Linked DNA regions of Xenopus tropicalis. The main gene of each other region encodes a partner of the protein of the gene in region 2 in a complex. Links are inferred from orthologs where the notes say so. Each region holds a gene or a part of one and is shown on either strand. Other genes may lie near its edges.

The links.
Region 1: the proteins of micall1 (region 2) and ehd1 are in contact, whole or in part, in an NMR structure (PDB 2KSP), measured with the Homo sapiens proteins. The link is inferred for Xenopus tropicalis from reciprocal best matches to the Homo sapiens genes MICALL1 and EHD1. Residues at the interface, in NP_203744.1 of Homo sapiens: Lys422, Tyr424, Asn425, Pro426, Phe427, Glu428, Glu429; in NP_001269373.1 of Homo sapiens: Gly464, Ala467, Lys468, Met471, Asn478, Leu481, Gly482, Trp485, Lys486, Lys492, Asp493, Gly494.

What each region holds. Positions count from the first base shown.
Region 1 is NC_030680.2:32,907,168-32,919,333, forward strand, and holds the start of ehd1 (EH domain-containing protein 1), read left to right. Parts: upstream 1-6,685; 5' UTR 6,686-6,760; coding exon 6,761-7,164; intron 7,165-12,166. UniProt on the Homo sapiens protein: ATP- and membrane-binding protein that controls membrane reorganization/tubulation upon ATP hydrolysis. In vitro causes vesiculation of endocytic membranes. Acts in early endocytic membrane fusion and membrane trafficking of recycling endosomes.
Region 2 is NC_030680.2:122,125,963-122,137,557, reverse strand, and holds part of micall1 (MICAL-like protein 1), read right to left. Parts: intron 8,539-11,595; coding exon 8,397-8,538; intron 8,318-8,396; coding exon 8,247-8,317; intron 7,546-8,246; coding exon 7,415-7,545; intron 7,320-7,414; coding exon 6,976-7,319; intron 6,905-6,975; coding exon 6,841-6,904; intron 5,505-6,840; coding exon 5,179-5,504; intron 4,039-5,178; coding exon 3,632-4,038; intron 1,544-3,631; coding exon 1,409-1,543; intron 841-1,408; coding exon 714-840; intron 265-713; coding exon 174-264; intron 1-173. UniProt on the Homo sapiens protein: Lipid-binding protein with higher affinity for phosphatidic acid, a lipid enriched in recycling endosome membranes. On endosome membranes, acts as a downstream effector of Rab proteins recruiting cytosolic proteins to regulate membrane tubulation.

The DNA.
Region 1 (12,166 bases), about 89 Mb from region 2:
GCCACCCCTGGTAACTGGCCACTCCTTGCCACCTGAGGCAACGTTCTCACCACTGTTTGGAGCAGCCCTGGTCAGCAACAAGCAATAGAATCTATAAACAGCTGAATGCCACAGCAATGAGAAGCTCAGTGGTGTCTTTAAAGGCAGAATGTATATGTGTTCTCACAGTCTAGAGCAGTGATCCCCAACCAGTGGCTCGCGAGCAACATGTTGCTCCCCAACCCCTTGGATGTTGCTCCCAGTGGCCTTAAAGCAACACATTGCTTGCCAACTCTTTGCGGGTATAGGTGCTTAATTTTTAATTTCTGGCTTGGAGGCAAGTTTTGGTTGCATAAAAAACAGGTGTACTGCCAAACAGAACCTCCTGTAGGCTGCCAGTCCACATAGATATGTTGGGGCGTGAGCAAACCAGGGTGGGATTGGAGTGGATTGTGACTCATTCTGGGGTTCTAAGAGATATTAATCTGCCAATTAATGCAGAAAATGCAGAGAAGAGTGTAATGGCTTGTAAACAGTAAGTTCTAAGTGAAACAGGCTGGCCAACTGCGAATGTTTACTTAGCAAAATGGTAGTTTTTGGGTCCTTCTTGCTGTATTTTTACCTACACAAAAAGTTAATTAAACTTTTTTTATGGTTTCATAATAAATGAATTTGGGGTTATTAAACTGGAAATTCAGCTCTTCTTGGTGCAATTGCACCTTCTGCACTAGCGATCATCTTTAACTGAGGATACATCAAACTGCATCTTGTTAATTAGAAAGTTGTTTAATGGCTGTTTACTGCAATAAGAAGAAATGCCCATGGTGTTGACGAGTTAACAGTTGTTGTGATTTCTAAATCTGCACACACACATCACTTAGTGCCCCCAGATATGGGTTGAAGGCTGGACTTGTTGCTAGCTCAGCCCCTCTCTGACCTCCATGCTGTCCCAGCCACACTGTTGATGGGCAGGTCTTACTTATATACTCGCCCTCATCCCACCACACCTGATTATATCAAGGATGGGGCAGGGCTGGTGTGGGTATATAAACCAGTGTACTGGGTCAGATATGGATTAGTTGCTCTTTAGTGTTGAAAAAATATTCAAGCCGTGCATCACCAGTCCCTACAGTATGTCTGTCACTGAGTAACTAGAGATTACTGGGGCCAATCAAATTTTTAATGCACAGTACTAGTTGTAGGACTATGGTTTGGGTCTCTTGACCCAACTCAAACAGCTGAATTATAAAAAAATTATTCTTTCACTGGAATAAGCTTTTGAAATATAAATGCTAAGCAATATTGAGCGAAAAAAATGGTTTCCATTTGCCTCAGATTAATGTGACTTTGTTGAGTGACTGTGACTCTCTCCTTTAGGACAAGAGCAGAGTATTTCCATCTTCTCTGTAAACACAATAATATACACATTTACAAACTCTTGTTTCTTACCTGAGGAAGGGCCCAGGAGCACACAATCGTTGTATGGTATATTCATCCTATGAGGCACTGATCATAAAGAAATTTTGTACATGCAGTTGTTCACTCTCTTGGCTTTTTGACAATATGGTGGTACAGAGGCAGAGGAGGATTAGAACCATGGCTCCTGCAGGGACCAGTGAATTGGCAAAGTGAAGCCTGTCATGTTGCTGTTTGTATAGCCCTAAAATTAAGACACCTGCCTGGCAAGTTGGAAAACCCTCGGGAAGCAGAATGAGTAGAATTACACCTGGTGCCATTACCCTTACATACAAAAATGCAGCCAACGATACTCTGAAATAATTCAGGTTTATCTTGAGCCACCTATACCCAGTTATACAGCTTAGTGCATGGCTGCAGAGATAATTGTCCCCACTTCAATCCAAAATGAATGCAGCTGCCAGGCTTATACATTTCACCAACCACTCGGTCTTTAACATGCCACTCTGCCAGTTCTACACTGGCTTCCAAATAAAATTCCTTCAATGCCAGTACTGAATCAAATTTAAACTATCAAGCCTGACATTCAAATTTAGAGCTCTGTCCCACCTTACACCTTATCTTCAAGTATTCACCAAACTGCTCATTGCACTCTTCTGATAATCTACTCGTCCACTCTTCACCCACTGCCTCTTTAGAAACACCATCGCTAAAACTGCACCCCTCCTCTGGAATTTCCTCCCATGTTCCATCAGTATTTCTCACAAACCTTCAGCCTTTAAATGATCTCTTAGAACATATGTCTCAAGAGAAACTTACCCTCATCTAGCTTAGCATTCCTTAATGATGCCCTATATGCCCCTGCCACCAACTCTATCTCTCTAGTATAATACCACAATAAACATATCTCCTTTGCTATTCCCGATCTTGTACAAAGCCACACCTTGGTTTTCATAGCCCTCTCTTTTAAGCATGTATGCTGATACAGGAACAGAACAAGGGGGAGCAGAAGGGCTGCGGAAGTGAAAACTGGAGTCTAAGAAAGTAAAGTAGGTAAAACACTGACAATCAATACACAAGGCAGAGACCCACTGACTTAATATCAGAGATCACAAAATATAAAAACCAACAGGCCCTAATTGTCTACGCATTATTCATGTGGGTACTGCTGCTTTTCTGGTTTCTTAGAATACTCTTGATTATTGGTAAATGTACATAATTTCATGGAACTTTGCAATATACGTCAATTTAAAAATATGCAGTCTTTTCATGATTTGTAATCTAATATGCAGGGCCGGAAGTAGGGGTAGGCAGAAGAGGCAGCTGCCTAGGGCGCAATGATTAGGGGGCGCCAGGCAGAAGCCTCTGCTGCCTACCACTGGTTCCCCTACATTGCCCCCGCCGCTAATGACAAGTGGCGGGGGCAATGACCCACGGCATCGCACACACCCCCCCCGAACTGTGCATGCGCACCAACGGAGGGGGCGGGGCGGGCGAGGTGGCCGACCGGGTTGCCTAGGGTGCCCGGACAGCTTGGCCCGCCCCTGCTAATATGGTTTGAAACAGTTCCTTAAGCCTGGCCCCCCTGCTGATCTAGCATTTCATGAAAATGGACATTTTATGGTTTCCTACCCAGTGTTTCTTCTGCCTTGTGAAGTAAATGGAAAATAGCAGGCAGGAACTCCTAAATACTGAAATTCCTTTATGATTAGTTCATCTTTTAATGCATGATTATCAGTATAAGTTACATCTGTAAAAACAGACCTCCTACTTTTTGGCCAGAGACCAAAAACAGACCATTTTATCTGACTGACTTGGTAATATTGCATCATATTTTTGGAAATATACTGTAAGTTGAATGAAAAATATTCTATCAAGAGAAGTCTCTGATTACAATTTACAGGCAAATGGGAATGCAAAATAAGCACAGAAACAGCAAGAAAAGCATTTCTTTAGTAAGAATGTGCACTTTAGGGATACACCAAATACTGGACCTGGTTCATTATCCTGTCCTAACACTGTTTGTAGAATCTAAACACTGGCACAAGTCCTTGTCATGGTATCTGAAGGGACAGTATATCCCCATGTTCAATGAATAGGGCTTGCGCTGATCACACATTTTGCCAAGCAGGGCAAACAGGAAACTGAAACTACTCTACGTTTAGAGCATGGTAGATAGATTCCCAGTCCACTGATAATCCATCTGCTTAATGGACTCCTGCTATAAATCAGTCACAACAAAGTGTGAGCCCTTCTCACTGTGTGTGGCTGGGTTATACACCAAAACTAGTTGTTGAGCACCAGTAAACTGGCTGACCAAGTATTTTTTAGTGTAGATAGCTTTATATATTTCTCATGCATCTCCCTATGACCCACCAATGGAATCAGCTCAGCCCTTTAGCTGGAGGTAGTGGCAATGCCTAAATAAAATCCCTTCCATGTTTCCCTTTTACTACAACAGATGGAATCCTGGCAGAACAGTTTCATTTTCATGGAATTACCCTACAGGTTAAAGCTCAGGCCCCACTGGGCCTCCTTCTCTGGATTCCTTTTGCTTTGCAAATGCAAATTCCTTACTTGAAATGCTTTCCATACAGGCAGTGATGTACAATGCCTTTAACTATAGATGCTTCTTATTTACAGGATTTGTTATCATTTCCCTGAAGGCAGAAGGTTTCCGCTATCCCAGATCCTTAAGAGGTTCCTGCCTAGCTGTTCCTGCTTATTCAGAGGCCAAGGTACAGACACATAGGAGAAACAGAGTTTCCCACAAGCACACACACACACAGGCCCCTAAAGCTCACACCTGGGGCTCAGTAGTAAGGAAGGTGCACTGCCAAGCAAGCATGGATGCTGCAAAAAGGGGCAAGAGAGGGCACCTGGAATTTTGCCCTCAAAGCCAACTCTCCCTGCTGTTGCAGTCGTTCCCACCTGTCTGTCAACATTATCATCCAGTAGCTGCCTTCATAGCCCCTTCTCTGGAAAAATAAAATCTCCTGCCTGCCCACTCCCATACTGTACGCCCTCAATACTGAAGCAGAGAGAGGCTGCTGAACATCCCTGGCTGTGTCCCTCACATACAGTTCCCTACTCTGTGCGTACATGCAGGGTCAGAGGCTGCTTGTGCCTGCAGTCATCACTAAGGACAGTGGAGTTAGGTGGGGATATTGGGGGAAGATCCGCTCGCTTGGCGATCTCACCAAGCGAGCGGATCTTACCGTGTATGGGGACCTTAAAGGTGGGCGATATCGGGGAGCTTGAACTTAAAAAAAAAAATTCCGATTATGTAGGCGGCAATGGGGCAGTCGGTTCGGGGACCGCATCAACGAGCCGATGCGGCCCCAGATTCGACTGAATCTTTTAACCTGGCCGATTGATATCTGGCCAATTTCAGGCCTGATATCGGTCGGCCAGCCTGCTCGTTTCTGCCCCTACACAGGCAGATAAGCTGCCGAGCCGGTCCAAGGGACCGATATCGGCAGCTTCTATCGGCCCGTGTATGGGGGCCTTTATTAGTCTGCTGGAATAACAGCTAGTGGTGCTAATGTAGTTGGACAGGCTTGTAGAGACCATATTGTCTGTAACAGTATCTTTCTTGCTACTAGATGCTATGTTCTGTGCTCAAACTGTTCTGTTCTAAAACTAACACTTTGCCTCCCCTTGGCGCCCCATTACTTACCTGTGTTAGCCGGTAATGCCTCTTATCCCAGCTTAGACCCAAGGGTGATGCCGTACTTTAGGGCAGAGTAAAGACCCAGTAGTCTGGAGCACTGTATACATATGTCCTACAGCCTAGCCCTAGGTCTTTGCCTTTCTCCCCTAGCCCCAAATTTACTCTTTATTGTCTTATAACAGTGTCCCCTTGGTATATGTTCCTATATAACCTATAACTCATCAAATTCACTGTGGCTAAAACATCAGTTTGAAAGTCATAGCAACTTTACATCCATTGCTGGAAGCAGCAGATCATGACTACCAGCTAGAATTAGCATTACAGATAAAACAACAGATGTCTGAAACTGACTTCAAAGTTCTAGTCACCATACTCTCTAAAAACATTTTCCATATAGGAAACAGCATGAAAGAAGGACTTGATACCCCTGTACGATCTCTTTCTGGGCAATGTATGCCAGCACTATACAATGAGAGAGCTTAGGGACTCTGTATGTCTGCGATGCCAAGACTCTGACAAGCTTTACTTATGTCGGACTTTCCTGTTTACATAAGAATTTGAATAATTTCCCGCACTCTAACTATGGCGAACTCCACCTTCCTTTGTTTAGGGTATTTCAAAGACTTTGTTTTGCAAAAGGAGAAAAAAATGCAAAGTTTAAAGGATGTGAAAGAAAAACATAAAAGAGAAAATACAGTTATATTATATTTGGCTGAACTCAACAAATCAGGTAGGGGACCAGACTTTCTGCTTAAGGGAGGTTTACTGACACAAGGATGGCACAAAAACAGACCGAAATAGCAGAAATAATGCAGTAAAAAATAGTTTTATTTAAAGAAAAAAATCTCACAAGGACAAGCCTTACACATTCCATGCCGAGCTTGAAAGGCACTTAATCATTGGCTCAAGTTGCCCCTCAAGGCACGGAATGCGTAAGTCTTGTCCTTTTGAGGCGTTTTTTCTTTAAATAAAACTAACAGTGCTCTTCAAAAGCCTTTCCCAGTTAATAGTTCATAGGAAAGACTTCAGAAAGTTCTTCTGAGGCTTCTGACCTCCTTTCTGAGCAAAGCAACATCAGAACAGCTTAGTTTTCTTTTTTAACATATATTTCCCAGACTGTGTAGCTGAAAGAACTGACCAGCAGGTGGCGCTGTTGTTACATAAGGTATTATATTACCAGTTTATAAACTGGAACCAAAAACATTCTGTTAATAGTAAAGGTGCTTGTAATTTTACATCCGCACATTTATTACGCTGCCATTCATGCTAGTGGCAGACTTTACTTCACCACACAAAATGTATTTGTATATTTTTGTAACGCCGTTCTTTCTGTATTAAACAGAATACAGAGACTTTTATAGCTCAGCTGAACTCAGCAATTCATGAGAAATTCGCTTTTACTTGGGAGAAGACAATGACAGGCGCCATACCATGCCCTATAAACCCGTTACGGGCCAGAGAGACGGGACCAAAGTCCCGGATAGAGAATTGACCCGTGTGACTCCACCGGCGGGCACGGCTCCATCCTCTCATGCACGCCTCCCAGCAGCGGACGCGCGTCCCCGCCACGCCCAGTAGTGCGCGCCCCCGGTCCCAAGCTCAGTCTCTCGGCCAGCTGTGAGGAGCTCGTCCCGGCTCCGTTATCCCATCCCGTGTAGGTAGGAAACAAGGGTTGCCCCAGCAGTAGCCGCCATGTTCAGCTGGTCGAATAAGGATACTCGGAGGAAGAAAGAACCGGAGCTTTTCCAGACGGTGTCCGAGGGTCTCCGGAAGCTTTACACACACAAGTTGCTGCCTCTGGAGGAGACTTACCGCTTTCATGACTTCCACTCCCCTGCCCTGGAAGATGCCGACTTCCATAACAACCCCATGGTGCTGCTGGTGGGGCAGTACAGTACGGGCAAGACCACCTTCATCCGCCACCTCATAGAGCAGGACTTCCCCGGCATGAGGATCGGGCCCGAACCCACCACCGACTCATTCATCGCCGTCATGCACGGGCCCGTGGAGGGGGTCATGCCCGGGAACGCGCTTGTGGTTGACCCCAAGAAACCCTTCAGGAAGCTGAGCGCCTTCGGCAATGCCTTCCTTAATAGGTAACCCGTGTGTAGGCTTCAGCTTGGGGGGCACTGTAGGGTAAGCAGCCCACAGGTCGCAGCGATTGTCCCTTGGAAGCATGCGACAAAGCATTAGTGAGAGCCAGTCTTGCACCTCCCTGAGCTCAATGGGCACAGTCTGGCTCAATAACATTAGGCCAATGGGCACAGTCTGGCTCAATAACATTAGGCCAATGGGCACAGTCTGGCTCCCTAACATTAGGCCAATGGGCACAGTCTGGCTCAATAACATTAGGCCAATGGGCACAGTCTGGCTCAATAACATTAGGCCAATGGGCACAGTCTGGCTCAATAACATTAGGCCAATGGGCACAGTCTGGCTCAATAACATTAGGCCAATGGGCACAGTCTGGCTCAATAACATTAAGCCAATGGGCACAGTCTGGCTCAATAACATTAGGCCAATGGGCACAGTCTGGCTCAATAACATTATGCCAATGGGCACAGTCTGGCTCCCTAACATTAGGCCAATGGGCACAGTCTGGCTCAATAACATTATGCCAATGGGCACAGTCTGGCTCCCTAACATTAGGCCAATGGGCACAGTCTGGCTCCCTAACATTAGGCCAATGGGCACAGTCTGGCTCCCTAACATTAGGCCAATGGGCACAGTCTGGCTCCCTAACATTATGCCAATGGGCACAGTCTGGCTCCCTAACATTAGGCCAATGGGCACAGTCTGGCTCCCTAACATTAGGCCAATGGGCACAGTCTGGCTCCCTAACATTAGGCCAATGGGCACAGTCTGGCTCAATAACATTAGGCCAATGGGCACAATCTGGCTCCCTAACATTATGCCAATGGGCACAGTCTGGCTCCCTAACATTAGGCCAATGGGCACAGTCTGGCTCCCTAACATTAGGCCAATGGGCACAGTCTGGCTCAATAACATTAGGCCAATGGGCACAGTCTGGCTCAATAACATTAGGCCAATGGGCACAGTCTGGCTCACTAACATTAGGCCAATGGGCACAGTCTGGCTCCCTAACATTAGGCCAATGGGCACAGTCTGGCTCCCTAACATTAGGCCAATGGGCACAGTCTGGCTCCCTAACATTAGGCCAATGGGCACAGTCTGGCTCCCTAACATTAGGCCAATGGGCACAGTCTGGCTCCCTAACATTAGGCCAATGGGCACAGTCTGGCTCCCTAACATTAGGCCAATGGGCACAGTCTGGCTCCCTAACATTAGGCCAATGGGCACAGTCTGGCTCCCTAACATTAGGCCAATGGCACAGTCTGGCTCCCTAACATTAGGCCAATGGCACCTCTGCTGCCCTGTGGGGGGAAAAAGTGGCTGTCAAAACGCCCCTGTCCGCTCTGTATTACTCCGCTTGCATTGAGGTTTTCCCATTCACTGCTCAGCCAGGGCACTTACCATTATATATAACAGTGATCCCCAACTAGTGGCTTATGAGCAACATGTTGCTCCCCAACTCTTTTGATGTTGCTCCCAGTGTCCCCAAAGCAGGTGCTAACTTTTGAATTTCTGGTTAGGAGGCAAGCTTTGATTGCATAAAAACCCAGTGCAGTTGCCAAAGAGAGCCTTCTGTGGTCTCCCAGTCAACATAGGGGCTACCAAATAGCCAATTATAGTTCTTATTGGTACACCCAGAAACTTTTTCCATGCTTGTGTTGCTCTCCAAAACTTTTTCCATTTGAATGTGGCTCACCGGTATAAAAGGTTGGGGATCCCTGATATATAACATAATGAGCAGTGACAGGGGCGTGCCAGGGGCGTTTTGCTAGCTTCTAGTTTCTGCTGGATAACCTACTGGAAGGTAAAGTTCCCCTTAATAGCCACAATATATGGCTGCAGCATGTCATAGGTTTGTGTTGGTTCCATTGCTGTAGAACAGGGATCCCCAACCTTTTATACCCATGAGCCTCATTCAAATGGAAAAATTGTTGGAGAGCAACACAAGCTTGGAAAAAGTTCCTGGGGGTGCAAATAAGAGCTATAATTGGCTACTTAATAGCCCCTATGTGTACTGGCAAGCCTATTGGAGGCTCTGTTTGGCTTTACATTGAGTTTTATGCAACCAAAACTTGCCTCCAAGCCAGAAATTAAAAAATAAGCACCTCTTTTGAGGCCACTGGGAGCAACATGTTGCTCACAAACCACTGGTTGGGGATCACTGCTGTAGAACTACACCCAGGGGTGCTGGGAGATTGAAGTGTATCATGCAGGCAGCTCTGGGTGTGTAAACCCCCCTCCCCACCCTCAGCAGCTGAGTACTGTCCTGGGGGCTAAACTTCCCCAGCTGTTGTGCCGCTCTGGTCAGAGCTGGTCACTGTAATCTAAGAACAGCAAGAGGCTACAGGATGATCATAACATGCTAAAAGTTTTAGCTATATTGCAAATATATTAAAATGTTGTATTGAATCCTAAAATGTAGTAGAAAATGTGTGGAATATAAAAATAAGCTAAAATATATATTTAAGCATGGCAGCCAGGGATTTACAACGCTTTTGATTGCTCAGCAATGATATTGGACATGGGTGGGTGGAGTAACAGACCACTCACGTGAGTTTTAGGATTGGGGCTTTTCAAAGCTGGAGTCATTAATTGACTATAGTTCCCATTGTGAGTTATAAACTACTGCGAGACTTAAAGGAACAGTAACACCAAAAAATTCAAGTGTATAAAAGAAATTCCAATATAGTGTACTGCTGCTCTGCACTGGTACAACTGGTGTGTTTGCCTCAGAAACACTATTGTGGTTTATATAAAGAATGCAGCTGTGTAGCCATGGGGGCAGCCATTCAAAGGAGAAAAGGCACAGGCACATAGCAGATAACAGATAAAACACTATTGTATTCTACAGAGCTTATCTGTTATCTTCTATGTAACCTGTGCCTTTTCTCCTTTTTTCCAGCTTCAATGGCTGCCCCCACGGCTACACAGCAGCTTATTTATATAAACTATAGTAGAGTTACTGTAGCAAACACACAACTTTTGCCAGTGCAAGGCAACAGTACATTATATTTAATTTACTTTAAAACTCTTTAATTTTTTGGTGTTACTGTTCCTTTAAGTGGGTTTTGCTCTTTTAGATGAATTAAGGGTGAGGCCATCAATGCAAAACATAGATAAAACCTGTGTATGTTTAGCATTGGCATTCACTTCTGAGGGTACAAAACCATAAAGCAGATTTATACAGAGGAACCCACCGTGTATGCATGAAAATATACCTGTGTGTTTGTGCTGTTACTCTGCAACTGTTCCAAAGCAATTATTTATGCTTTGTGTGCGGAAGTAATTCTGTCTGGCAGTTTTAAGCCAAACTGATCCAACATCTGTCCCAAAACAAGGCAGCATAGCGTCGGCCTATGTGTGCTGCCATCCATAAAAATGCCTCCCTGAATTCCCTAAGAGAAATGGTTATTTTGTGAGTTGCAGATTGATGGCCTTTCCTGGTCAGTTTGTTGTTCTATACGTGTAGCCAAAGATCATCCCAACGTTCTGTATCCCCATGATTGTGATTCAATAGGAAATGCCTGCTCTTTTGGCGACCTCTCAATGTATGGCAATCTTAAAGGACACCCATGTACCCCACTGGGCCGCCTGCACTAGTGGGGGAAACAATATTTGGGTGATAGGTGCCCTTAAAGACCCAGTAATGTCAAAAAGTGGAAAGATATACTTTAAACAAATACAAACTTTAAACATAACCAGCTCCTACAAATTAACTATTTCTTCTTGTACTATATCAGGGGTGGCGTCGACCGCGATCCACCAGTCGATCCCCCGTGGATTTCTGGTGGACCGCGTCTAAGCCTTGGGATGTGGAAGTGCAGCACGTTTATTGGGTATGTGTACGTACGTGGGGAGGAGTCAAAAGTAGATTGTCTGGGCACCCCTGTACTATATTATACAAGAGATTGGCCCCTGTTTATCTGGATAATAACTTAAACCATTGTATTCTATACAGCTTATCTCTTATCTGTTGTGGCTTTTGCCTTATTCAGCTTGAATGGCTGCCCCCATGGCTACAGCTCTGCTTATTTATACAAACTAGTAGTGTTTTCAAAGCAAACACAGTGATTTCCAGTGCAGGCCTTAAAGAAGTGATCCTCATTCAGTGTCTCATAAGCAACTTGTTGCTCACCAACCCCTTGGATGTTGCTCTCAGTGCCCCCAAACCAGGTAGTTATTTTTGAATTCCTGACTTGGTGGCAAGTTTTGGTTGAATAAAAACAAGATTTGCTACCAAATAAAGCCCCCTGTAAGCTGATAGTGTGCACAGAGGCTGCCTAATAGCCAATCTTAGCCCTTATTTGGCACCTCCATGAACTTTTATGATGCTTGTGTTGCTCTCTAAGTCTTTTTACATTTGACTGTGCCTCACGAGTAAGAAAGGTTGGGGACCCCTGCCTTAAATGAAAAGAAATGCCAAAAAATGAAAGTGGTTTAAAGTAATTAAAATATAATGTACTGTTGCCCTGCACTAGTACAAATGGTGTTTTCTACAGAAACACTACTATAGTTTATATAAAAAAAGCTGATGTGTAGCCATGGGGGCAGCAGGGTTTCTGAAGCAAACACACCAGTTTTAAATTTATAATCCAGTATATTATAATTCCTTTTATACAATTTTTTTGTTGTTACTGTTCCTTTAAGTGTAATGTCCCATGGAAAGATTAGTTGCCCAAGACTTCTACCGCAGGCGACTAAACTCTCCAAAGTGCCTTTCCACCTGCAACAAAGCGAATCGCAGGTGAAAAAGACCTACGCGTTGCTTTGGTTTTCTGAAGTGGATGAAGTTACCAGCTGGAGGAAACTTTGCAAAACCTAAGCGATGCGTAGGCCTTTCTGCCAGCATTTGTTGACGTTGGAAAGGCATTTTGGAGAGTATTAGATTAATCTTTCCCTGGGACACACTAAGCGAGTAGTGCCCCGCAATAAATCTCCTCTACCGTGGGCTACTTATCTCATGCATATGTGGTGTGGCTACTTTTTAAATAGCCCAAAGTTCCC
Region 2 (11,595 bases):
TTCAGTAACCTTTAGGAAGCACGGCAATAGTCTACCTGACAGTATTCACTTATACAGCAAAACCCTAATATAGAAAGAGCAGTATTTAGTTATAAGTTTTCATAACCTGAATGCATATTCAGTAGTAGCAGTGGGATAAGACTAAAGGTACAAGAGAAGTCTGCCTTGCTTACGTGTACACAAGCTCTGACTCCCGGCGCACCAGGGTGTGTTTTTCTTGGATCAGCTTGAACCAGTCCACCAGCAGACTATCTTCATCTGACTCTGTACAGAGAGAGTGCAGTCACACAGCTGACTCAGAATAAAGGTGGCCATACATATTTAGATTTTAGCCATCTTACAACAAACTTTTGGGTATTGATCGTACATTTAATAATGTGATCTAAAACGAACATTCAGAAATTGTAGGATTAAAGTCCTAAAAATAACAAATCGGACATTGTTCTGACAATTAATAATTGCCAACAATCGTATGTAAGGTATATCCTGGAAATACATGGTAGGTCACCCAAGGATATCGTCAGATAGGCAATACATGGTCAAATATTATGGTTACCCTCCTGAAATTTTCTAACCTGTTTCTAAACTGATCAACTACTACATGAAAATTGGGGGAATATTAATTGAGCCCACGCACATTTTAAAAATTTTCCTGCATTTGCATGTATGGCCAATTAAACATTTTACAAATATCAGTCAGTCTATTCTCTCACCATTCTCCAACTTGCGCAGTCTGTGTTCCAGCTCCACCCCACGCCTTTCTAGCTCATCCAGGCGCAGCTCAATTGTCTCCATCTCCATCTGAATCTCATCTTCCGGAATGTAGTCATCAGCCTGAACCTGACAAGTAATTAAAGAATAAAGAAAAATCAGAAAAAGTCAGCACTTTCCACTAGAGAACTTTTGGTTATCACACAGAGGGTTAAGTCTAGTGACCACAATGGTGCCCAAAGTCTCTCTTATACAGTGAACCACAGAGCAAATAAAGATAAAGGGTGGCACTGATGGGGTAATAATTCAGAATTAGAATTCAAAGCACTTACTTTGTGCACTGAATATTCCTTCTCTATCTACTTGCATATATACATGAGCAGGCACTGCTACAGAATTACCTGTGCATATAGTACAACATGGCCGACAACCATTACATATAAAAAGTAGGGTTTATATAACAACCCTTTAACTTAATTTCATTCAACTGGCATTCCGAAGAATCCTGACGGTCACAGTCACGCTGTTTGCCTCACATATGGATTCCAGGGAATTTTACAACAAGATAGTGTGAGCCATGCTTTGCTTTAACAGATATCAATAAGTCATGTGGGCCCAGCAATACTGTCCTGACTTCTTACTGCGCAGTAAACAAAACACAAGAAAAGAACACGAAGAAGGGCTTAGACTGGTTTACCTTGCGTTTTATAAGGGGGAACCCATGTCCTGGAGCAGGGGGTCGGGAAGGTTTTGGACCTTTCTGGTTCCTTTTGTTGATGGGAGATGTAGCAGGAGAGGATTTCCTATTAAAGGGATTCTGTTTGCAAATTTGCTGGAAAGAAAGAGCAGAACGTAATAATAACAATACATGTATGGGATCCATTATCCAGAAACCCATTATTACAGCAAGGCCATCTCCCATAGACTCCATTTAAGGCAAATAATTTGAAATTTTTTAAAATATTCCCTTTTTCTTTATAACAGAACAATATCTTGTACTTAATCCTAACTAAGAAAGAGACATAATTAATCCTTATTGGCAAAACAATCCTATTGGGTTTATATAAGGTGTAAATGATTTTTAACTGACTTAAGGTATGAAAACCCAAATTATGGAAAGACCCCTTATCCAGAAAACCCCAGGTCCCACACATTCTGGATTACAGGTCCCATACCTGTACCACCCCAGCAATCCATAATGAACATTTCTGTATATCATGGTTCTCCTGCACAGGATACTTCAAGCTTTACCACAGTTAGTGAGGTTTGTAATTAAAGATGCGGTTCAACTTTAAGTTAACTTTTAATGTTATAAAAAGGCCAATTCCAAGAAAACTTTTTAATTAGTCTTCATTATTTATGTTTTATACTTTCTGAATTATTTGCCCTCTTCTTCTGACTCTTTCAAGGTTCAAATGGGGTCACTGACCCCAGCAGCCAAAAACACTACTGCTCTCTGAGGCTACAATTTTATTGTTATTGTTACAACTTACTACTTATTTTTTTTGTTTAGATACTCTCCTATAAATATATCAGTCTCTCATTCAAACCACTCCCTGGTTGCTAAGGTAATTTAAACCATTGCAATCAAATAGCTGCTGAAATTGGAGAGCTGCTGTAGAAAAAGTGAAATAATTAAAAAAAACCACGTATATATAAAAATTAGGATCATTTGCAAATTGTCTCAAAATATTACTCTCTACATCATACTAAAGGTTAACTCAAAGGTGAATAACCATTTCCTGCAGTAACACCCTGCAACTGAAGCTATGGCAGCTGTTTATGATCTTGCAACTTGCATGTCCTTCACCTGTATACCTAGCTGCAATGGAAATATACCAAGATATCTGTCCAGTACTGTAGCAGAAGCATGCCACGCAGACTGGGATACCCATACCAGCCCAATAAACAGTAACTGTCTATGTCACTAAACAGCAGCCCCTCTGGCATTTGCCAGAAACTGCTGACTGCCTGTTCAGGCCTGTTCCCATTAGACGTATGGTTCCTGCCATTTCCTGTTAACCAAAGACCTCTCCTGTAAGCCAATGAAGTCATTTACCAAATGTATACTCACTACTGAACAACAAACTCCATTTAGAAATTTTAGTTGCTTACAGGAAACTATACCCCCAAACAATGTAAGTCTCTATAAAAATATATTACATAAACAAGCTCATATGTAAAACCCTGCTTTATCTAAATACAACATTTTCATAAAAATATACTTTTTTAGTAGTATGTGCTATTGGGTAATCCTAAAGAGAAAACTGCCATTTTAAGAATTAAGGGCCGCCCCCTGGGATCATTGGATTCACAGTGCACACAAACAAGCCAAGGCACACACATACATGTTAGGTCCCATCAGCCAATGAATGGACAGAGTTCTGTCTTTTGCTTCCACACTACTTTCTGTTAGAGCTGCATTATTTTCATGTCATGTGATCTGTGATCTGTGTCATGTGAGGGAGCAAGGGAAAGGATGTAAAAGGGCAATATTTACCGATATATATATTCCAGTTTGGCGAGATTCTTTAATAGGTCACTTATCATAATATAAACCTATAATATAAAACCTATAATATAATCTGTTGGTTAAGTATACATTCTGGGGGTATAGTTTTCCTTTAAATAGGAGAATAAAGGTCATACAGTGTGATGGTTAAACTATCTTTTAAAAAAAAAAAAAATTAAAAAAACAATGGCCAACTATCACACTGTGTATAGCCAAATAATCATGTCTGGATATTATGCTAACTCCGTGTCACAAATGATGCTTTTGGTATATTACATAAACTTATTTGAATTATTCTAGACCAACCCCCCCTCCCTCTTCCCTTCTGTACCCCCCCATTTCTTATGAAAAGCAAAATAAAGAATATATAAAAAAAAATAAAAATTCTAGACCAGCCCTATCACTCACCTTTGCTAGAGGCTTTTTCTCTGGAGGTGTGCTGTCTGATGCCACTGTGCTAGGAATGGAGATGGTAGGTACTTGAGGGGCAGGTCGGCTTGGACTAAGAGGCATTTCTGGGGATGGGCTTTCTTGTGCTTCATTAGTATTAGCTAATTCGCTAGAGGAAGAAAGGCTGGTGTTGGTAGAAGTACTGGGGACACCAGTGCTGAGGTAGGTAGTAGTATCTCTATCTGAAGGTTCTGGCTTGTTTGGAGAATGGATAGTTGGTTCAGATGAGCTTTTGGGAACACTCTCAGGATCCTGGCCCTTTGTGGAAGCATCCGTTGGAAGGCTCTCTGTACTTAGGGCTGGGGAAGGGCTGCCCGAGGGAGGCTCCGAGTGAGACAGTCTTGACACTAGGTTAGAATGATGAGCTAAAAAAGAAACATACATAAAAGTCATTAAAGCAATTATGGAGAAATGTAATAAAAGTTACAGTGTGCCCGCTATGGTCTAGTAACCCACAGCAATCAAGTTGGTATGGGTAAATAGACTTGCTGCAAACTATGTTGTAGCCCACCTAGTGTCTATGTAAATATACCAGCACTAGCATGTCTCAGTAGATAGCTGTAAAGCTGCAATAACAGTATTTGATATATCTTGCACTAAGCTGCATTCAGTGAAACTGAAAGTACTTTTATTTTCCACTTCCTAGTTATGCAGGGCATGTGAAAGGAGGAAAAGACACACAGTTTACTTTTCACAGTAAAACCCTCTGTATAATAAACACTGATCCATGTGTAAACAAAGACAAAGGTTGGTGCTGGTGAGAGGAAGAGGCTTGTTTATACAGCCTTCATATAAACAAACTTCTGGTTACACAGGGAGGGAGGGCGTGGCAACAACAATAACAAAACAATGATCTGTTGCTGGCAGGATATATTTTCAAGAGAGGTTCTATTTCTTCACTGTAACAAGGAGGTTGCATTTTTTAAAGATTATGGAAGAAAGCTCTACAATAAACGTTTCAAATTCTGTGTACATAATTGTGTATTCTATGTTCAATTCTAAGGCCCAGAATCAGATTTGCAACCTAAAATGTGGTGTACAATCAGTGTTTGCGCCTAATTTGGCTTGCTATTTCCTCCTTTCAGAAGAAATACTGTATTAAAGGCAAAACACCCTAAACAGTATGGGAACCCATTTTTGGTTACAGATCCATAGGGTAAGAAAGATTGTGGTAACTCCCAGCTAGCTTATATAGCTTCTGTGCCTCATTTCAGGCAGTAATGTTCTACAATGTAGACACTTAATTGTTTCCAATCCACTGATGCCAGCCTAAGCTATGGGCACAAAGGGAGGGTTTCAGCAAGTGGAGAACTGACAAAAACCACCAATGGCATTTCTCATAAACTTAAATGGGAACTACCTGACATTGCTAGCACAAGAAGTTATCTGCCTAAAAACCTTCTAATCCATGTTTTTGGCCTGAGAACCCTCTGACCCCATAGCAACATCTAGATTAAGCGAGATAAGCAAGATAAAGCGGGTAAATACAAGCTATTTTGGCTTACCCAGAGGTGAAGCATTGGGAGCTTTAGGTGCTAGCCTTTTGCGACTCTTGGGGCTGCTGGTTGGTGTAATTCCATACCATGGGTGGCCTGGTTTTAGAGAACTTGTTTCCGCTTCCTCTTCTTCATCTTCAAATGGATTGTAGGCTGTTGGCTTTGATGAGAGACTTTGCTTTTCTGTGTCATTTAAAGACTTCTGAGATTTCTCATCTCCTAACTCCGGCTTTTGAGCCAGTGGTGGAGGTGGGGGAGCAGCTCTCCTTTTGGGCTCTGTCGCAGGAACCAGAGAGAGCCAAGGAGGATTTTTTTTCTGTTTTTCTTCATCCTCCCTAAACAGCATCAAAACAAAAAAAGCACCAAGTAAAGCAGATGACTTATGAAGCTCTGGAACTGCCCTAACCTGAAATATAATAAAATCAGTGACTGGATGTCCTAAAAGTTAGGATGAGACAGGATCTCTGTTCTAGGTTTTCTGGTCTTGCTCGGTAATTCAGAGGTTCTGGGGTGCAGTATTGCGATTCTTAGAGGAGAAGCTGGCATTCGTAAACATTTACTTCCTGGAACTCTGCCTACTAGGAATAACAGATGCCCTACAGTTTTGGCCAAAATCTGGGATGTGCTACTTACAGTTACTGTACTATGCTAAAAAAGGCATGTAAACCCCACACACAAAAATGTAAACATTGAACAGCCTCTTTGAAATCTTTCAATACCTGCATAGTAAGGCTGCAGCATCCCCTTAATCACTTAGAATTCCTTCTCCTCCTGTAACCCACTCGCCCCCCCCCCCCCCCTCGGTAATTTGCTTTGATTCCTGGCTTGTGGGCATGCTCAGTTGTTCAATAAAATAATAAAGCACTGATTAAGCCTGTACGAAAGGGATAAATTAAAAAAAGAACAATTTGTTGCAACAGTATTGTGAGATTAATTATGCTACATTAATTACCTATTATTATTTCTCCTTTGTTTTTGGCAAAAAGAGAACTACAATGTACAAAATAATGTGTGATATAATAATTTTCTGTTGCAGGGTTCTTCCTTTTAGAGGCATTTTCAACTACTGCAGATTCTGCTGTGCCAATGACTGTCACTGTTCTCTTATTAAATTTTCCTTCCTTTCTCCAAAAATCAGTGAGTCAAGGCCTTGATTGCTAACCCTATATCAGAATAACATGGAAGCAAGGCTTAGTTGGTGTTGGCATCATCTAATAGTATTGGTGGCAGCAGCAGAAACTGAAGGAGGCACTAAAAACCGAAAGCAGATGTAGATCACCCCTACATTTGTCACAGCCTGTACTACAAGAGATAGTAGTAGTAGGGGAAGCAAAGTAAACATAACTGGGGAGGTGCTAATTTGTTTTGCACCCTTAGTGCTTCTAATTGCTAACCTGCTACTGTAGGGTGGTGCACCTCTTACTAAAATACTTACCAGTCCAGGGTACTTTTATTTGAGCACAGCAAGCTGTCCTCATTTTTAACTTTGACAGACATCCCCTGCACCTGCTGAAGCTAGGCACATGAGCAGAAGAGAAATCAAGATGTTCTACGTATAGATTCGCGCAGGGCTGCCCTGGGAAAGCAGTGCTTAGAAGAAACTCTCCTCGCCCAGTGGATTTTCTGGTGGCAACTGTGTTAACTTTCTACCGAGTGTATGTGCACACTTACCTTTCTGAGGATCTCTGTCTGCTTCTTGGTTTGGGTATTGGTGGAGCGGGAGACTGTTGTTCGCCTGCATAAGCACAATGAATGTCAGTAATTGTTTGGATAACCATTCCCCCTTATGATTTGTTATCTCCTCACCATTTATTAGAGATGTAGGCCTCACTGGGCTTGATTCTGCTGCTGCACGGGAGCGTGGCAGAGGCTGAGGGGCCACATCACTTGTTCTTCTTGGAGCTGGTACTGGTCGCATGTTAGGAAAGGGATCAGGATGCAATTCTGTTGGAGGTTTATTGGAGGAGGCAGGTTTTTCTGGCACAAATGGTTTGGGAGGGGTCTGAACTGCTTTTTGCTTAGTGCCATCTTCTTCAGATTCAGGGCTGCTGGTTGGTGGCCGGTGGCAGTGGTGAGTGCAAACCAGAGTGCCGGCATCAGTGCCTGGGCGGTAGGCTCCTGGAACTAGGGTACTTGAGCATTCTTTACATCTGTGAGAAAGTGAAACAGGATGCAGTACATTAACTAGTAGAATTGCAGGTAAATGAAAAAAACAAGCAAAGTGATATTTTAAACATGAACAAACCTGAAGCACTGGCGGTGATAAAGCTTCCCCTCTACCAGGTATCTCTGCACTAGGTGTACATGCTGCTGGCACAGAGCACAGGTGCTGCTTATTGAGCTACGGATCAAAGAGGTCTGGGCATTTGGGCTTCCCTAAATAAAGATAAAAAAGAAAACAAATGATGAAGGGCTTTGCCCTTAGTAGTCTATGGCAGTACCGGGCTAACTGTAAGGTGTGCCCAAGGCACAATTCCTTGCCTTAATCACCCACCTGCCACAGTGAGGTGAGGAGTGGGTGGGGAGCAGAGTTTATGAGGGGAGGGTGTGTGATGTAATGCAGAATGGAGGTGCAACATAGCTCCTCTCTCAGCCAGCTGGAACTAAAGGTAGGCAGGTAGCTAAGGTATGTGCCTAGAACCCTCTTCTATTGCATCTTAGGCACATACCTCTTCTGCCTACCCCCGATTCACAGGACAAACTTGCACATGAGCAGTAACCCATGGAAACCAATGCGTGTTTTTTTTTCAGTCAGCTGCAGGTTTCTTACTATTATTAACATTTATTTATAAAGTGCCAACATATTCCGCAGCATTGTACAATAAGTGGGTTTCACACATTGGACATACAGAGTAATATATAAAGCAATCAATAACCGATACAAGAGGTGAAGAGAGCCCTGCCCAAAAGAGCTTACAATCTACAGGTTTAGCAGTGAAAACCAAAATTTCATTGGTTGCCATAGGTTACTGCCTAGGTGCAAAGGTGCCCAATGCTTATAAATGAGCCACTATGACTCATCACGTGCTATAGGTAAAAGCACATTTCTGTCCAAAGAGAAACAGCTTCCAGCCTACCTGAGGTAAGGAACCTCCACTGGGCTCTTTGCTGGGGGACTCAGAGGTTTCTTTCAGCTGAGGCTTTCCCACTGTGAAAAGAGTTAAAAAGTTGGGGGTCAGTTTGGATCATGTAGAACGTAATGGCCTTTCCTCTTGCACTATGCTCACCTGGACTAGAATTCCGGAAGTGGTTATAATACTGGGATAAGTACGTCATGATGCTCAGTCGATCAGGCACTTTCATGGACACCATGTCCTCTGGATCAAGCAAAGCTGGAATACCCAGTTCCCGTTCAGCCACTTCAAAAGCCTAAGAACACAAGAGCACTGAACTAAATGTGGGAAGGTTTTAGGTGAATAATGCCCAACAATCATTAAACCATATATTATAGACAGGGTATGCTTTCACTATTAAGGATTGGAGCTGTTACTAACCCCTCATTAGGTCAAAATACCCTAACATTTTCTAGTTAAACTGTGCTTAGTAAGGGGAATACCTATGCTGGTTGTGTTGCAGAGTATTGCTCTGTACAGGCCATGACCACACTAAGGCTGTTTTTCCTGCTAATGATATGCCTGGAGTATTCCATAATTATAACCTTCAGCTGGCCATGACCATAATAACATTAGAACACAGCCCATTTTGGCACTGTGTAAAAGAATTAGAACACTTCAATTAGTCTTGGACGAGAATGAGGTTTGACAAGACGATCACGAGCAGACCTGAGACTGTGGCAACATGCAGGGCATGACTGACAGTGAAAGAAAACTCTTACACAGAAGCAATGGAAAATAAAGTATCAGGAAATAACAATATATATACACACACACATACACTCACACAACAGATTTGCCTCTTAATTTTTTAAACTTTTTAAAATCTCACTTCCTTAGCACCAGTACTGAAAGACTTAAAGCAGCAGGAATTTGCCTGAGGTATCCGTCCTTAAGGGCAGTGGCACACGAGGAGATCTTTGTTACCGCTTTGCTTCGTTTTCCTGAAGTCATGCAAAGTTTCCTTGAGAGGCAACTTCAGAAGGCTTTGGGAAAACGAAGCAACGCGTATGCCATCCCACCGGCGATTTACATTCTTGCCCCCCACATGAAATCTCATGTCTTCTGCAAAACATGCAGGGCACCCCTTTATATGGGACCACCCTTGTGGCCCCCCTGGAAGCTGCAGGGTCTGTTTCCTCTGTAGTTATGCCACTGGGCACGGCAATGTGAAAGGAAGGTAATGACTATATGCCTCTCTCATGAATATAGCACCAGAGAGGATGTTAGTAGTGTCAAATGAGTTTTGGTATACAACAAAAAACCTACAGAATTAAAACAATACTTATATTAAAAATTCAATCGAATAAGTGCCCTCTTGCATTACAGTAACATGACTGTGTATATACATAAATATATGTATCACATACAAAGACAGGTGAAACGCACATTCCAAACGTTACCAGATATTTGTTTGTATAACTTTCCCTATGACAAATCTTTAAGCACACTAATATAACCTGCTTGTCCATGTCTTACTGGCCCATGGCTTATTAATGAGGTACAGTGCCGCAACAATAATGGCCAAGCCCAAGGGAAGGCAGAACCATAATATTGGTCAGTGTAGCGGTGAAAGGCAGTTCCAAAATTAGAAGTGAAAGCCAGGATTAGCAGCCATTATATGAAACAAAACAGACAGGGTAAATTCAGTAGCCAAATGTTGTAGCAGTGACACAGCATACATATAAATATATTATATATATATATCACAGCTTGGCTTCTTAGCCTGTTCATATGGTGACTGAGGTAATATAATAAAGCGTCAGCGTTTGCTGAGCAGTGAAACTGACAAAAGGACATAAATAGCCAGAAATAAGGAATAGGGCCCTGCTCACTGAAGCATACAGAGGACGGTGGAAACTTGAAACAAGGTCACAAGGCTGTTGGTGATCTCTGCTGAAGATAATGGAACACACTCCACACAATGGAACTTCCAATAAAGTACTAGGAGGGCAACAGTTTTAAAAAGTCCCCCCCCCCCCCCATCCCTGGCTGATGCGAGCGATGGTAGTGACTCAGATTTGTAGCTTTTCTTGATTAAAGCTTTGGCCGCTCTAAGCACAACACTCAGCTGCTTGTTGTAATAAGAAGTCTGGAGTCCATTTAAGGGTAAGAACACACAGGACATTTTGCTAAAGGCAGCATTTTCTGGCAATTATGCAATGCAATTGGTTTAGACACAGAGATTTTTGCAACAACCATGCAAAGGGATTTTTGATCAATCTGTTGCCCTTTGCTGGAGGTGATTTAACATGGAAACAAAACATCCTGTGTGTTCTTACCCTAAAGGAAAATTATAGCTCCACAAAGAACTATGCTGGAGATTTTACACCTTATATTTTGGGCTCCTGTACCAGCCCAAATTCACCACAGCCCTGTGCCCCCAAAGATGCCCCAGTAGCTCCCCATCTTCTTTTCTGCTGATTCCCTGCACATGCTCTGTGCTGCTGGCAGTTACTGAGATATATTGTGTGTGTGTATGTATGTGTATGTATGTGTATATATAGTGGGGTTTGACATCGTGAACAAGGTCCTAGACACGGACCGAAACGTTGATGTTTGAGCTATGATGTAAGTTATTAATAAAGCTAATTGATCTACGCTGGAGTGCACATAACTTTTGGAGAAACATACAAGGTACAACTCTATGTAGCACCCGCTCATTTTGCCTAAAGGATTAATTAAAGGGAGTGCGGACCTATTGGTGTATTATATATATATATATATATATATATATATATATATATATATACTTGTCAGGATCACAAGTTGGGGAGCTCCTGTGTACAACACTGAAGGCATGTATCATTACTATTATAGGGCTGCTGAACCACTGGGTTGGTACAGTAAGTTTAGTACAGGTATGGGATCAGTTACGGTATCTGGAAAATTGTTATCCAGAAAGTGGTATATAATATAAAGCATTTCTTGCCATAAGGGTTCCTTTAAATCATAGCTACATAGTTACTTGGTATAATTTAGCCAATAAAGCTCTGCAGTTTGTGCAGTATTTGGGGAGACATGGAAAGGCCAGTAAGAGAGCAGCTGGGAAAAACTAAAAATAATATCCTAGCTGGCCAAGTTAGCCCTTTTATTAGTCCTATATTAATCTCTTTTATTAATCTCTTGCAGGTCATAGCTAAAGAAAACGAGGGCTACCCTTCTTGCAGGGACCCAGAAAAGAGATATAACATTTTAGGCAAGTGATTTTTGCCTCCCCTGCTTCTCAGCCTGAAGTTTTGTCTAGGTGAGATCTGTGGGGAACAATTACTAGTTGCACTTTATGTTAATGTGACTATGGCTGAATTGCTAA